Coturnix japonica: one gene and its partners. The protein of the gene in region 1 interacts with the protein of each later gene in a pairwise test. Links are inferred from orthologs where the notes say so. Each region holds a gene or a part of one and is shown in the gene's direction. Other genes may lie near its edges. The genes, in order: CPSF7, ARMC7, NCK2 and SMAD3.

What was found.
Region 2: the proteins of CPSF7 (region 1) and ARMC7 interact in binary tests that used the Homo sapiens proteins (3 or more experiments, as listed by UniProt). The two-hybrid records come from large-scale screens. The link is inferred for Coturnix japonica from reciprocal best matches to the Homo sapiens genes CPSF7 and ARMC7.
Region 3: the proteins of CPSF7 (region 1) and NCK2 interact in binary tests that used the Homo sapiens proteins (3 or more experiments, as listed by UniProt). The two-hybrid records come from large-scale screens. The link is inferred for Coturnix japonica from reciprocal best matches to the Homo sapiens genes CPSF7 and NCK2.
Region 4: the proteins of CPSF7 (region 1) and SMAD3 interact in binary tests that used the Homo sapiens proteins (3 or more experiments, as listed by UniProt). The two-hybrid records come from large-scale screens. The link is inferred for Coturnix japonica from reciprocal best matches to the Homo sapiens genes CPSF7 and SMAD3.

What each region holds. Positions count from the first base shown.
Region 1 is NC_029520.1:295,666-299,151, reverse strand, and holds the end of CPSF7 (cleavage and polyadenylation specificity factor subunit 7), read left to right. Parts: intron 1-582; coding exon 583-991; intron 992-1,073; coding exon 1,074-1,192; intron 1,193-1,283; coding exon 1,284-1,452; intron 1,453-1,529; coding exon 1,530-1,698; 3' UTR 1,699-1,703; intron 1,704-1,792; exon of another isoform or gene 1,793-1,845; 3' UTR 1,846-2,954; downstream 2,955-3,486. Other genes in the region: TMEM216 (transmembrane protein 216), read right to left, coding at 3,429-3,444.
Region 2 is NC_029533.1:9,330,654-9,334,437, forward strand, and holds ARMC7 (armadillo repeat-containing protein 7), read left to right. Parts: upstream 1-1,401; 5' UTR 1,402-1,524; coding exon 1,525-1,591; intron 1,592-1,669; coding exon 1,670-1,813; intron 1,814-2,274; coding exon 2,275-2,612; 3' UTR 2,613-3,244; downstream 3,245-3,784. UniProt on the Homo sapiens protein: As a component of the minor spliceosome, involved in the splicing of U12-type introns in pre-mRNAs.
Region 3 is NC_029516.1:122,088,832-122,092,394, forward strand, and holds part of NCK2 (cytoplasmic protein NCK2), read left to right. Parts: intron 1-247; coding exon 248-442; 3' UTR 443-3,563. UniProt on the Homo sapiens protein: Adapter protein which associates with tyrosine-phosphorylated growth factor receptors or their cellular substrates. Maintains low levels of EIF2S1 phosphorylation by promoting its dephosphorylation by PP1.
Region 4 is NC_029525.1:17,036,045-17,040,388, forward strand, and holds the start of SMAD3 (mothers against decapentaplegic homolog 3), read left to right. Parts: upstream 1-1,523; coding exon 1,524-1,729; intron 1,730-4,344. UniProt on the Homo sapiens protein: Receptor-regulated SMAD (R-SMAD) that is an intracellular signal transducer and transcriptional modulator activated by TGF-beta (transforming growth factor) and activin type 1 receptor kinases.

The sequences.
Region 1 (3,486 bases):
CAGGCCACGTCTCTGCCCACCCTCATGGTTCGGTGGCCAGGGTTTGTGCACTTTCAGCCTCCCTGAGTGGTCTTGCAATGGGCTCAGCAGCTTTCCCAGAGCTCTGTCCCCCCTTTTTTCCTCTCCCGGCTCGCCGTCAAAGCCTCATCCTCAATTCCTGCCCTTCTCTTCTGAGGCAGTTTTCCTTCCTCCAGCTGTCAGCACTTGGGTTCTGCCCCTGCATCCATGCTCGTGCTGCCTGCTTGAGCAGGCTGCAAGTGTTTGGGGCTGTTTCATACCTTCAGGAAGCTGGGCTCTGGCCATCTCTCCCCATTTCTTGTGGCTTTTCACTTCTATCCACGTCCCTGCTCGCTCTGCGGCCAGTGAAAGCAAGCATCCTTGGGACGCTGTGCAGGTGGCCGCAGGTGACCCTGTTGGAGAGGCACGTGTAAGCGGAGGTTACGTTTGGCTGGCTGGATCTGTCTCTGGGCACCTCAAGCTTTCCCGAGGCTGAACCTCGCGCGTGTGTAGGGAGGAAGAGGTCAGTGAGGGGCAGGCAGTGCCTGTGGCTGCAGCTCACTGCCCTTCCCATGCCGCTTGCAGGTGTGCCGCCGAGGGCCCACTCACGGGACTCCGCCGACTCTCTGGATGGCCGTGCCACACCGACAGAGAATGCGCTGCCGCCCACCCGCCTGGAGAAGCCCCCCTCCATCCTGCCCTTCTTCAACCGCCCCCCCACTGCTCTGCCCCTCATGGGACTGCCCCCGCCTCCCATGCCCCCTCTCCCACCTCTCTCCTCCAGCTTCGGCGTCCCCCCACCACCACCCGGCATCCACTACCAGCACCTCATGCCCCCTCCACCCCGACTGCCCCCACACCTGGCCGTGCCCCCCCCTGGGGCTGTCCCTCCAGCCCTGCACCTCAACCCAGCCTTCTTCCCCCCACCCAGCACGGCCGTGGGGCCCCCACCAGATGCCTACGGCAAATCCTTGACCCCCTACAACCACAGCAGGTGAGTGGAGGGTGGAGGGGGGCTTGGTGCCAGCAGGGTTGGGAGGGAGCTGCATTGAGCCCCCAACCCTATATCTGTGCAGCCGGGAGCTCGGTCCACCACCTGCCCCTGTGAGTGAGGTGGAGTTTGAGGAGATCATGAACAGGAACCGGGCCATCTCCAGCAGTGCCATTTCCAAAGCAGTGTCGGGTGCCAGTGCAGGTAACGGTGGCTGTGTCCCTGTGCCCCGTCATCCCCTCAGCCCTGAACCTGCAGCTTGCTGCATCCCTCACCATTCCTCCACTTCCCACAGGTGATTACAGCGATGCCATCGAGACCCTCCTGACAGCCATTGCTGTCATCAAGCAGTCCCGCGTTGCCAACGATGAGCGGTGCCGCGTCCTCCTCTCCTCCCTCAAAGACTGCCTGCATGGCATTGAAGCCAAGTCCTACAGCACCAGCTCCAGCAGCAGCTCCACCAGGTACCCTGCCTTGGGGGGGTTGCGTGGCTCATTGGGGTCTCTGGAGGTGACCAAACGTTCTTCTCTTCTTCCCCCAGGAAAAGACACCGCTCTCGGGATCGCTCTCCCAGCCGGTCCCGTGATAGCAGTCGGCGGCATCGGGACGTCCTGCATGGTGAGGATCGGCACGAGGACTATTTCCAGGAGCGGAACCGGGAGCATGAACGGCATCGGGACAGAGACAGAGAGAGGGACCGGCACCACTGAGACAGGTGAGCCCAGCGGCGGGACGGTGCTGTGCTGATGGCTGAAGATACCCGGTGCTGCAGCGCTGCCCTTCCTTCTTTTCTCTCTCCTGCAGAAGTTTGGCAGTAAGTGGTTTTTAATGGACTCGTATCTCCTCACCTCAACCAGGACTGCGCCACTGTGGCTGCTTCACCCCCTGCTCACCACCCACGGCTCTTTTGAGGCACCTGAGGGACTCCTTGACACCTTGGGGCCTGAGCCCTTTCCCACACCCACCGCTACTGCTGCTTCCAGGGGAGAGGCTGAAAGGCAGGGGGCCCTGCTCCATCAGTACTTGGACCCAAAGAAAAATGGTGCTTTATTTTCACGGAGGGAGGTTGGTGAGCCCTTTCCTCTCGCAGCCCTCCAGGAGTGGCTGCAGGTGGATGGATCCTCGGGCGCACAGGGGCTCAGTGGCACGCAGCTTTCCATTTCAGCTGGAAGAGAGCTGGGCTGGGGTCACCCCCCCTCCGCCCCAACTTTCACAGCAGGGTCACAGCCTCCGTGTTCATCTCCCAAAGCACCAGCTCTGGCTTCCAGGAGCTGGTGGGGCCTCACGACATCATCCTCTCCCATAGAGCCTTCCTTGTTTTAGAGGAAGCAGAGGAAGCAGAGCTGCAAACCCCAGCCTCAGCGACTGTATGTCCCCTTCCCAGCAGCATCTCTGTGTGTGATGGTGCAGTTGCAAGCTGGGACGGGTGGCAGGGACAAGGCCACGAGCTCCCTATGCCCAGTGGAGTTGCACAGCACTGTGCACAGCCATTTTGAAGCCCAGGAGGAGCTCATAGCCCTATACAGGTCCATTCAGCTAAGGTTGCATGCTGGAGGAGCTGAATAGGTTCAGGCAAACCAAGGAGCCCCAAAGCACCAGCCAGCCCCCAGGGATGCCAGCTGGGTGGCATTACCTTCAGAACTGTTGCTGGACAGGAGAAAAACCCAGCTCCACAGGTCTTTGTTAGGCTACAATCACACAATGAATTCCATCAAGTACCATCAGGTGAGCACTGGGGGGAAGCATTTGGTGGGTGAGTTCTGTTTTTGTTGGCTTTTTTTTTTACGTAACAACACAAATTTATAGTTTCTTTCCAATTAGTGTGGGGGGGAAAAGTGCAGAGAGGAACCTCTATTAAGCACCCGGCGAGGCGCTGCCCCCCTCTGCCCGCAGTGACTTAGGTTTGTTTGTCTTTCTGATAGGTTGGAAGTTGTGTAATAAACTTGATGACGTTGTCAGTCTTTTATATGGAGCTTTTCAAGAGATTCTGGTGGGGATGTTCAGGGGATGAAGGTGTGGATGGGCAGCAAGAGCCAAGCACTTCTGTAACGCCCCCCCACCCCCAATCTTCCAGCTCTTCCTAAGGGCTGCTGTGCCTCCCATGCTGGCTCAGGGGCTGGCTGTGGTAATGAGGTGCTCTGGCCTGGGGGGATGCCACGTGCCCAGGCACCAGATAAAAATAACTATTTATTGGAAAATAGTGATTTCTTCTTACAACGCTGTAAAAAAAACAAATTGTCTGTACCTTGGACTGACCTGTGTGTCACAAACCTCGGGGCTGGGTGGCAGCAGGGTGGGTGCTACCCAGGCACAGCCCTGGCACTGCCCACAGGTGCCAGTGTGGGTCTGGCTCACCACCACAGGCTGGAGATGGAGCCTGTGCCACCTGCTTGCTGCCATCTCGTGTACCTGCGCTGCTGTGGTCCTCTGGTGCAGGGCCTCAGTATGCATCCATGCTGCAAAGAACAGAGGAGAGGATGTGTGAGGAGAGGCTCAAC
Region 2 (3,784 bases), on another chromosome or scaffold:
AGGAGACAAATAACCCTCACCCAGTCCCCTCACACTCTTTCCTGCTCCCTCTGTCATTAAATGTATCGTTAACTTTGCGAGCTAAACATATTTTGCAACAAGCACCTTTTCCTACTGCTATGAAACATTCACCAGGAAGTTCATTTGAAATATTGCAAAACTGTGAACCTTATAAGACTCAGATAGTCTGCCAGGGTAAATCTTGGAAAACTTTAATTAAAAACAAAACAAACAACAAACAAACCCAAAAGGTCACGGCAAACTTACGTACTCTAAAACACCTCAGAACTGCAAAATCACTCAAATGAAGAGTTTGGCAAAATTTGCAGACCCAGTCAGTAACTGCAAGAAAAGAAACACACCCACCAGAACCTGAAATTGACCAAATTCTAACTCTGTTGAGATATCAATGGGCACCACTGTCATTAGACTACCCCTAAGGCTGTTAATACCACAGCTATGCTCAGGCAGCCTGTGCAACATGGACAAAATATGGCCCACATCACCCGCACAAACAGCCTGAGCCAGCACTGCTGCCAAGAGATGGTTGTGTACGACCAGGAAAACTTCCTGCAGCATTGCAGCACACGGTGATGATCAGATGCACTCAGTCATGTAAGCAGCACGAGCACAGCCTGCAGCCCTTACAGAACATCTCTGCAGACCACAGACCTGGGAATGTTACCAAACTCTATGGGACAGCTCAAATTAAATGCACAATGTTCCTCACATCCGTTAACCAGCCTGGATTAGACTCAAAACAAGATAGAATCTAGAAGCAGCAGAGCACGCAGCTCGCAGTGAGGTGAGCAGCAGCGCTGCAGTGTGACCCGCAGGGTGCAGCTCTCGGGGATGCACCACCCGACCAGCACGGGCTGTTCCTAAACGCTGCTCGCAGTGAAATCACTGCAGGGGACAAAGTTCCCATTGGTTTTGTGCTTGCAAAATCCTACTGACTGCCCACACACACACACGGTACCTGGGAACTCAGCGCTGCATTTTCCTCCTCCAATGCAACGCGCTCCTCCCCTTATTGCTCAGTCCCACTGTCCTCAAACACTTCTGTCGGTTTGCTTCTCCTTGTTTGCTTTCTCTTCTCTGCCCTTCTCACACCAGCCCCGCTCTGGTCCATATTAGTAATGACAGATGTCGCTTCAAGTGCACTAACACAGTTACAGGCACGAGAAGCACACGCGGGGGTGTAAATTCTGAGGCCTGGGGGGCAAGCAACCAGGTGGCAGGGAAAGGTGAAGAACTGTGCAGAACAAAGGGGGGAAACGATAAAAACACGTGTTTGCCAGATACAGAGTGCAGCAGTGATATGTGCCTTCACTTATTGACGCACATGAGCTGCCCACAGCCCGCCCCGCACGCGGAGCGCAGCCAGCAGCCGCACCGCCCACAACATGGCGGCCGGGGAGTAACGCCCACAACATGGCGGCCGCCGGTGTCCGGAGCGCCCCGTTGTGCCCCGTGCCGGCGGCGCGGTCCAGCTGATCGGCTGGTTCTGGTTCTCAGCTCGGGATGGAGCTGGGCAGGTTGGAGTACCTGCAGGCCCTCGTCACGGAGTTCCAGGTGACAGACAGCCCAGGTAACCCCGCGTACAAAAGCGAAATCTCCATCTACCACAGCCCCCCTTGCCCCGTTTGACGCGTTGCTTCCCCGGCAGAGGCCAGGCGGCAGGTGCTGGCCAACCTGGCCAACTTCGCCTACGACCCCAAGAACTACGAGTATCTGCGGCAGCTCCAGGTGCTGGACCTGTTCCTCGACATGCTGACGGAGGACGACGAGACCCTGGTGGAATTCGCTATGGGTGAGCACAGCGCTGGGTGCGCCCCGATGCTTTCCCTGTTTCTCTAAAACACAGGTAACAAACCGGGGAAAATGAAAATAAACGCTGCAGCCACACGGCGCCATAAATGCCATCACTGCACTGAGATGGACAGGAGAAAATAAAAGGCAACGTAGGGCAATTAAAAACCCATCATTTAATTCCTGGTACCTTGAAGACCGATTGCCCCCTTACCACACAGGGAAACTGTCTGTGCATGTTGCCTTAAGAAAAGTAGTAAAGATGGAGTGTCCGTCTGCGGACAACTCAGTGCCGGCACCACACAGGTCAGGGCCCAACTGCTGGTACCAACAGACGGAACGTGCTCCAGCTGCTGCCATTCATTCCCAGATGAGGTGCCCTTCAGAGCATGGAGTGTGTCCGGATGAGGCTGCAGAAAGAATCTGTCTTGCATGTGTCAGATGCTTTTTTCGCTATTTCAGGTGGTCTTTGCAACCTGTGCTTGGATAAAACTAACAAAGACTATATCCTGGAGGCCAATGGGGTAGAGCCCATAATAAACTGCCTCTCCAGCTCCAACGAAGAGACAGTCATGTCAGCAGTCACAGCCCTGATGTATCTGACAACGCCGCAGTCGTGCCAGCAGACCACAGCTCTCCCGGTGGTGGAATGCATGCTTCGCTTCTCCCTGTCGGCCAGCAGAAGGCTGAGCAATCTGGCCACGATCTTCCTGGAGGATTATTGCACGCCCCTGCAGGTGGAAGAGGCCAGGAACCTGAGCAAACACACAGCGGTGGGGATTCCTCTCCCGAAGGATTGAAGCTGTCAGAGCAGCTTGGAGCTGCTGCGAGGAGCACCCCCTGTTTGCTCAGGTCTGCACCTAATGCTGAGTAGGTCAAGAGTGTGATGAGAACAGTAAAGCAGGAAATCAGACTAGCATTGGATTTTAGTTAGTATTGAAAAGGACCATACAGCACTATAACAGGCCAAGAACGTGGCTGAAAATGGAAGCAAATATTTTAAATAAAAAAGGTGATGGCTGCTGTGCAGCTCTGAACCAGCTTACAGGTATAACCCTTATAGCAGTTACTTTCTCTGCTCGGGTTATTGTTCAGCTTGTATCACTTCCAGTTCCTGGCTGATTTTGCCACAGCTTTCCAGTGTCAACTCAGATGACTTTGAAATGACCCAAACTTCATCCCTCCTGCAGAAGAAATGCGTTTCCCTGCCCTGGTAATTTGCAATCCTATTACATACCTTTGGTACTATACATACTGTCTTATCATCCTGCCCTAGAACAGGTGATAGCTATCCCATAGGTCAGGAAGCAGAAAGCTGTATTTCCCTCATTACCACTGGTGAGAAAGGTGCAGGTAGGAAAAGGGTTTATGGCATTCAGGTTCACAAGAAAAGCCTTTTCTTAATAAAACATTAACGGAGCTGTTGTGTAAACAGTTCTGTGTAAGCTCGTAAATGTTCCTGTACAGCTCTTGCAGCGCAGCCTCTGCTGCTCCCACTAATGCACGTGGGCTGGGAGTTGGAGCCACTTTGCTCTCCTTTTATGATCAGCCAATCGTGCAAAAGGTAACCTGGAGCCAGGGCGGCAAACTGCCCAAAGGCATAGAACGGGGTGGCCCTTTACCACGGTGCTTCTGAAAGGCTGCGAGTTCCAGAGTTCTGCTTTCTCCCCCTCCACTCAGCTCAAAACACGCCATAGTGAGCTTACACCACAGCTGGCTGTTTGTCTTTATAGTTATTCTTCATAACATCACTGCGGCTCCGGCCGCACCAGGACGAGGCACCGTGAGGTGAACCCCGCAACCCCCGCATGAAGCCGAGCGGCCCCTGGCGGCACCACGGCCCCGAGTGGAACCTCCGGCCACAAGCGGGTGGAACTGCCGGCCTGGCCTTAGTGCGGGGCCAGGCGGCTCCGCTGTGCGCTGCGGGAACCTTCATCGGACGGCTGGGCGCGCTCCAACTGCACTCAGTGTT
Region 3 (3,563 bases), on another chromosome or scaffold:
GCAACTTCAGACTATGCATCTGGGGAGCTTCACTTAAATGACTTAACTGTGCACGATGGCAATTATTTATTGAATAATAGACTATTGGGTTTCTTAAGTAGCTGAGGCACTGAGCTGTGGAACAAAGACTAACACAAATTACGCTGTCAGCTGTATTTCAGTTTGTTCTTGAAACCACCATACTGTGCCTTCTTTTTGTTCACTTTTATGTAACTCTTTCTTTTTCTTTTTGAATTATTCCCAACAGCCCAGTGACTTCTCGGTATCTCTAAAAGCATCGGGGAAGAACAAACATTTCAAGGTGCAGCTCGTGGACAATGTCTATTGTATTGGGCAGCGTCGCTTTAATACTATGGATGAGTTGGTGGAACACTACAAAAAGGCACCCATCTTCACCAGTGAACACGGGGAAAAGCTATATCTTGTGAAAGCACTTCAGTGACGATGAAGATGGACTTGGCCACCCAGGCCCCTTCTAACTTCCAAGCCTTAGGTCCTAAAATCACTTTTATAGAGCAGAGCAATATCCGAAGCAGGCTTAAAGAGTAGGCTCTTTCTAACGTGTTTGCTCTGTTGGTTGTTATTTGTCCTTTTTCGTTTGCCTACTTTTGTGTTTCAGTTCTGTTAATCTCAGATCACCTCCCTTCAGGTTGAGAAGTTCACCTCTGTGGCCATTGTAAGCACTCACTTCCATGTCCGAGTTCTAAACTCCCCTCTTCTGTGTACGTTTACATACTTAGCTCGGATAAAGGAGGGGGGTTTGCAATTCAACCCAGTGTTAACCTGTTCAAATTGCTCACGCAGACAGACAGAACTCTTTGTTAAGAGACATCGGGCACAGTTTGAATGCACTGAGGCTGCAGCTAAGTAAGTGAGATATAGTAGACATAACAGTTGTGGCTGTGAGTTCTGTAGCTATATTGCTTACCAGGTAGTATATTACAAAAACTCCTAGTTCCTAGAAGCACTCTTTACACTGTACTCTGCTATTACATTGCCTCTCTGACTCTTTGCAAAGAGTACACTAATTAAAGCGTTTTGTAATAGTACTTCTTAAACTACTATGGTAAGATTGTAGTAAAAGAAAACTATCTAGTGTATTTTGGTCTGTAATTGCAACAAAGAGAAATTTTATTTGAAAGTTGATTACTAAAGAGAGAATCATTGAATTGTAAAGACTGAATGTTCTGGTAATCTACAACCAAATGTGCCATCCACATAATGCTTTTTTCCTCTTGCCCTTCTGCTTGTTTGAATTAAACAATTATGTATTTAATTCTCAAAGTAATATGTATCTGTAGCTGATTGTTGACACTAATACAGAAAATTAATAAAAACTGATCAGGGGACAGGGTGGGGTGGGCTACCAACACTATATATATATTTGCTTTACAGAAAGGAAACTTCAGGTTTTATGGAGGGTGGTGTGATTGGTAGGAAGAGACACACAGAATGTTTATGAAGAAAATGCTTTTTTCTCTTTTCTTTACATTTAAACTCCTTTATGGTTTAAATATACAGACTTTAGATGGCACACTCCTGAGATTGAAGAAGGGATCTTGAGATCTCAAAATCTTGCGTACTCAGTTTTTTGGATATTGTAATAAAAAAGGTATTATGTCATGATGGAGTACTGGGTTTATCCTTGGGTGGTAGTTCTGGCGTGGCTTTAGAAAGGTCAAATAGAGTAAATTCTGAATTTGCCTGTCTTGGAATGTGTGTGGCCTACAAAGAAAATATGTGCCACTGCAGAGTTCAGGTTGATACGAGGCGGTGTCTAATGAGCTCCACATTGATTCTCTCTGTGATTTGTTTATAGCTTTAATGAAAACTGCAAGATGGAGCTCTTTTATGGGACCTTTTTTTGCTATTAAGTCTTCCTTACAGATTTTTGTATTTCAGCCAGTGGTGATACATGCATAACTCCAGTGTAGGCAGAACAAGCACCAGCTGAGGGCTGCTCTGAAAGTAATGTCTCCTATTTATTATTATGAAGTCAGAGGTGGATATTAGTAGGACGGTAGTAGGGGCTGAGCATTCCCACCAACATTCTGTAACATTTTGCTGCTGTGTGACAGATGGCAGCACTCTGATGCAATGATGTCTGACATGAAAGTGTGTATGAAACAAAGGTGTCTAGTTGAATTCCTCCATGCAGAAAAAAATGGCACCCATTGACATTCATCATCATTTGCTGGAACTTAATGGAGACCAGACAGTGGATGTGAGCACAGTGAGGCGGTGGGTGGTGCATTTCAGCAGTGGTGACAGCAACATGAAAGACAAGCCATGTTCTGGATGGCCATGCAGATTTTTATGAGTGTGGCATGCAGGCTCTTGTTCATCGCTGGCAAAAATGCATAGCTGATGGTGATGACTGTTGAAAAAGAGTGTTTTGTAGCTGAGAATTTGTTCTATCAAATAGTGTTATTGTGCTCTTTGTATCTGTGGTAGTTTCGATGGAAGTAAATCGAGGCATTACTTTCAGAGCAACCAACGTACAACTTCATGAGTTATACACATGTTATTCTTCCACAGCTGCTCTTATTTCTGTGAGATTATCTGGATTAGAACTGTGTATGAATTAACAACTGTATGTGGGTAAACAAAAATCGGGCACTGAAACTTCTGCATGGTCCAGCTTTGTGAATAAGGGTAGTTATATAAGACAGACCAGAACAATCACTCTTCTTCATCCTGGCAAGAACATACCCATGGCTAGATTATGGGAGCAGAGAAATTTTCATTATGGAGTTGCTGAGAAGTGCCCCTTGTTTACATCCTTCTTGCCAGGACATCACAGTTGGTTTCTTCTTAACCTTTTAAGTGAGTTCTGCAGAGGCCATAGGGCTTTTGCTGTGTAATATCTAGTTACTCATTTAGCTCAATGTAAGCATGTACCTTGAGTATGACAAAGACATTAAGAAAGCCAACTACATGCTGTGTGTTTTCAGTTCGGAGTGAGTTGCTTTTCAGTCCCATTGCCTCTTTGTAGTGTTTCAAAAAGTGGTACGTGGGAATGTTTTTCAGTAAATCAACAACTACAGTTACTCTTTCATGTTGCCCCATGTTCATTTTTCTGAAACATTCACTGTATTTTGTGTTCCAAGAGTCTTTCTATGCCTCTTGCTGTGCGTTTCCTATTTTGCTTTTCTTTTTTCCACTGAAAGTTCCGAACCCCTTTCTAGTCTTGATAGATTAGAACTAAATCAAATAGACCTCCAAGTGAGATTTTTACCATATGCTCGATATTCTAAGGGATTTACAATCCTTTTATTTTTTTCTTCCACCTCTTGCCTTGTGAACAGCTTCTGAATATAGAGGCGCCAACCACTGGAGTATTTTGTTTGGAAGCAGTAACTAACGTTAATTTATGATCCAGCCTTATGAACAACTAGCTTGAATTATTTTTTTTTGAAACAAGCTTCATCTTGTTTTTGCCCACTCCGTATTTAATCAACATGCAGTCTATTCAGCAGGCTCATTAATAGGTCTTCAGTTGTTCCCAGTCCTTGCTAATTAAGATAGGTTTCTGCAAGTTTTACTGCCTTTTTGACCTCGTT
Region 4 (4,344 bases), on another chromosome or scaffold:
TTTCAGAAGTTGGTACTGTCAGTTTGGAACAAAGGGCACTGTCTGTTTTTAAACCCCTTGTGAAAGTCAGGCCAGTTGCCTTTGAGCATCAGACGCTGTCTGAACCCATAGGTTCCTAACTTGCCACAAGGCAATCCGTATAGCTGGCTGCTTTGAATCTGTACACACAGGGAATTTTGGATGCTGGCTTTCGAGGAGTCTCCCCACTGGGTTGTACTGGAACCTGGAACTGGAGAACGTGGGTTGGCAAGAGCTGTAGGTGTCTGGGAGCTGCCGAGCAGCCCCGGAGGCTTCCCAGATTCCGCTCCCCATCATCCCGTCTGGGAGGATGGAGGAAGCTGGGAAGCATTTCTCAACTCAAAACCTCAGAATTTGGGCCTTGAAACTTTCACCCCCTGTTCCTGGATGGCTGTTGCGTGCAGCTGGAGCGCAGAAAAGCGAACTGGCCTCGGTGGAGGCACCCGGTGACTCTGCAGGTGGCCCCAGGCTGCTGTGTGCTGCTCAGCATCGTTTTGGGGCGATTTACCACAGGATCGGAGCACTGAGGAGCTGCTGTTTGTATCTGGGTGGGCTCCCTTTCAGCATGAGGGGGCAATGCTGGAGGCCGGGCAGCGGCCCTGTCTGCCCAGCAGTGGAAAGGGAGGAGCTGGGCATTCACCTGGATGCCGTCCTGAGTTAGTGCAAAACAAGAGCCTCTCTGCAAAGCACCTAGAGCTGAACACACAGCGGCTCAATGACCAAAATGTTCCGTCTGAGAATTTCTGACCAGGTCTGGTGGTAAACAGGCTCAAACGACACACTGGAGATGATACAGGGCGAAAATTATTCGGGTCCCCAGTCTGCAGAGTGGGAGGATGAAGGAAGAGAACAGTAAATTGAAGGAGTTGAAACTGCTGATTGTCCAAGGCTGACTGAGCGGTGCTCAGCTGCGTGGAAAGACGTGCGGCACTTGTTTGTGTTATTTTTCTTCCTTTTTCCACAGAAAACAGCCAGGGCTGAGGGTCCCCACGCTGAGGGGGCCCTGAGGGTCGCGCTGTGAGGTGGGAAGGCCGCGCCGCTCAGGGGACGCCTTTCCCGGCGCCGTAGCGGGGCTGAGAGCGGAGAGCCGAGAGCCGAGGGGCCCCAGCCCCGAGCGAGGAGGGGGGAGCGGAGTTCCCGGCGGGCCGGCCGCCTCCCCGCCCTCCCCCGGCGGCGTGAGTGAGCGTGTTTGGGAGGGAAGGAGGGGGTGGAAGCCGGGCCGGGGCGGCCAGCAGGCAATTTGCATGAGAGACAGACTGGGAATGAGCTGGAGTGGGCGCCTCTCCTCGCACACAGAGCGGGGCAGGAGGGGGAGGAGGAGGGAGCTGCCGCCGCCGCCGCCGCCGGAGAGAGGCGGCGAACTCCGGGCAAAGTTTGGTGCCGCGGCCCCGAGGCGCTGAAGGCGGCGGAGCGGAGCGGAGCGGGGCCGGGCTTTGTGCTGCCCGCGGGGCCTGCGCGGCGCGGAGCGGAGCAGGGGGCGGCGGGGCGCTGCCGGCAGAGCCAGCATGTCCTCCATCCTGCCGTTCACCCCTCCCATCGTCAAACGGCTCCTGGGCTGGAAGAAAGGAGAGCAGAACGGGCAGGAGGAGAAATGGTGCGAGAAGGCGGTGAAGAGCCTGGTGAAGAAGCTGAAGAAGACGGGGCAGCTGGACGAGCTGGAGAAGGCGATCACCACGCAGAACATCAACACCAAGTGCATCACCATCCCCAGGTAGCGGCGGGGCCGACGGGCCTGGGCGCCCGCTGCGCCCATCCGAGAGAGTGCGGTTACACGGAGGAGAAAGTGGCGGCGGGTGGGAGCGCTGTGTAATAACGGGAGAGGGAGAAAGTGCGAGGGGATGAGGGCAGAAAATAGGGCTGAGATGAAGAGAAAAAGTTGTGGATAACAGCTCTGCGTGTTGTGGGTACTCGTGGTCAGAAGTTTCAGCGTGTTCTCCGGCGTTGTTAGGGGAAGATTTGTTTATTTTTGATAAACTATAAGCAAAATGGTTTGTTTGGGTCGCTTGCTTGTTTCCATGTTAGCTGGACAGACGAAGAGGTGATTGAGAGCCCTGCTGTGTGTGTGTTTTCCAATCGCTTTTTAGATTGGGAACACAAATGGCATTGCTGAAGGGGATTGTTCCAAAGGGTGAATATAACCCATGTGCATACATACTAAATGTTGTGTTAACGTAGATTTTATTTTTAGCCTTCATTTTGAGCTCTTTGAGCCCATTGTAAATCATGAAGGACGTGTGTGTAAGTATCCCATCAAAGGAAAATCCTGCCCGTAACTTTCAGATCTAGCTGGCCACAGGCGGTGCTTTATTGCTGAGGGTTTGTTGATTTCAGTGTGCGGGGCCAGATGACTGCTGGGGCTGGTATTGGTCGTTGTTTGAGGGGCACTTTTTTGGTTGTTGTTTGAAACACGGGCCAAAGTTCATTCCAAATATTTGAATGCTGCATAATTGTGTGCTTCTGCGTGAGAAGATAGCTGTGTGTGTGTATTCATGCTCCTCTCTCGCGCAAACAAATGTATGCTTTCTTGGTTGTCAGAATGATTTAATATGCAGTAGCTAATACAAAGCAGCATCTGTTGCATGAAGAAGTGAAGCAAGTAGCTTAGAAATGTGGGCATTTAGAACTCTGAAATTTTTCTTCCAGTGACTGTAGGGCTTGGGTTTTGTTTTTCTTTTTCTTTTTTCTGTTGTTCTGGCTTTTGTTTTTTTCAACAACAAAAAAGAATTCTCCTGATATTCTAGTGCTGAATGACCGTGGCTGAGATTTTACACTGATACAACCAGCCCCTCGCCTTTATTAGTTAGAGTTATTCAGGCTTCCTCTTCTAGCTGAAGAAGGGAGCTACGCGTGCAGAGCTGCCCCTGGTAACAAACGTAATATAACCTCTATTTTGAAATTCTTGGTAAGCAGTGTGGATCCCTCACAGATAGTGCCCTATCTAAACCACTTCCCTTAAATACCTCTTCGGAAGAAGAAAATGACTTGAGCAGCCCTGCTGATATGACTCTGGTACTGTGCCTCATTGCTGATGAACAGAGCATGAAGCCTGTGGATGATTCTTTTACTAGCAACAAGGTGTTGTAGCGTAAGGGAGGGAGAGTTTGGTATTTTGTGATTCAAAGGAAGCAAAGAGATGGGTGCAATAGGATGCTTCAGTTGAGCAAAATAATTGTGAAGCTGTAAAATAAGTAACAATGCGAGCAGATGTCACAAGTCGTAAATATTATCACCTCCAGAGATGGTCCTGGAAGAGCCTGCTGTGCAGAAGCTAATGCTTCTCATAGACTGTGCTCAGCTATAAGAAAACCATGCAGGAATTATAACATTTCATACCCACTTGTAATGCAGAGTCTGGATCCTGTATGTCCTAAACCTCGCTGCTTGGGGAGTATCAGCATATTTTGACACCAGCTCCTTTGGTCTTAGTACTAGATTTTTAGAGTAACACTTCCTGTGTACATTTGGTATTGTTTAATACAGGCATTACAAAGGTGCAAGTGGTGGTTGTTAAGTTACTTTGTTCTGGGCCCTCAGCAGCAGCACAGTGAGGGGTTGATACTTAGGTATCGGAGAATGGGGGTGGTGGCAAAGCTGGAGCAAGGTCTGTGACTTTGGGCTGTGTCCTCTCCTCTGGGCTGTGCTGTTTGTCCTGACGTATCTACAAATCTGGTCACCCTGTCACTCCAAATTAGCATTTTCAGGACAATTCTAGTGTGGTTTCAGTATTTTCTTTAAAGTTAATGCTTCGTATCTTGTTTTATTAGTTAGGTAAGTAAGTATGTTGAAGGGAGGCGAAAGGGGAAAAAACATCATTAAGGATTAGATCATGGTGTGCATTGTCTGTAATGCATCAGTAGGCTGAATTACGGTGGAGCCATGCCAGCGATGACTCTGGCCCAGCAGGAGTAGGGTAAGTCCAAAATTAGCTATTGTATCCATGAGACACAGCAAGTTTCAGATGTAAAAGTGCTCAAGCTTTGCAGGAACATTGCTTGTGGGACTAAGGGCTGTGCAGCAGATGAGCTGACAGCTTCAGGTTCCTGTAGCGACAAGGTGAGGCTGAATGCACAATTTAAGAAAGAACAAGGAAAATGAATACGTCATACACGAATTTTTGTTGTAGGACTGTGGAATTAGAAGGCCAAATTTGTTCCTGTTGTCACTTCTATGTGATGAATTAGTTCACAGATGGATTGGCAGACACACCTCCAAGCCCAGGTTCCAGTTGGAAGGACAAGTGGCATACAGCAGAAGGCTGGAGAGACCCTCATGGTTCTTAGCAGAGCTGTTGGCAGGATTCTTTCCTTTTTGTTTTCTTTTCCTGCT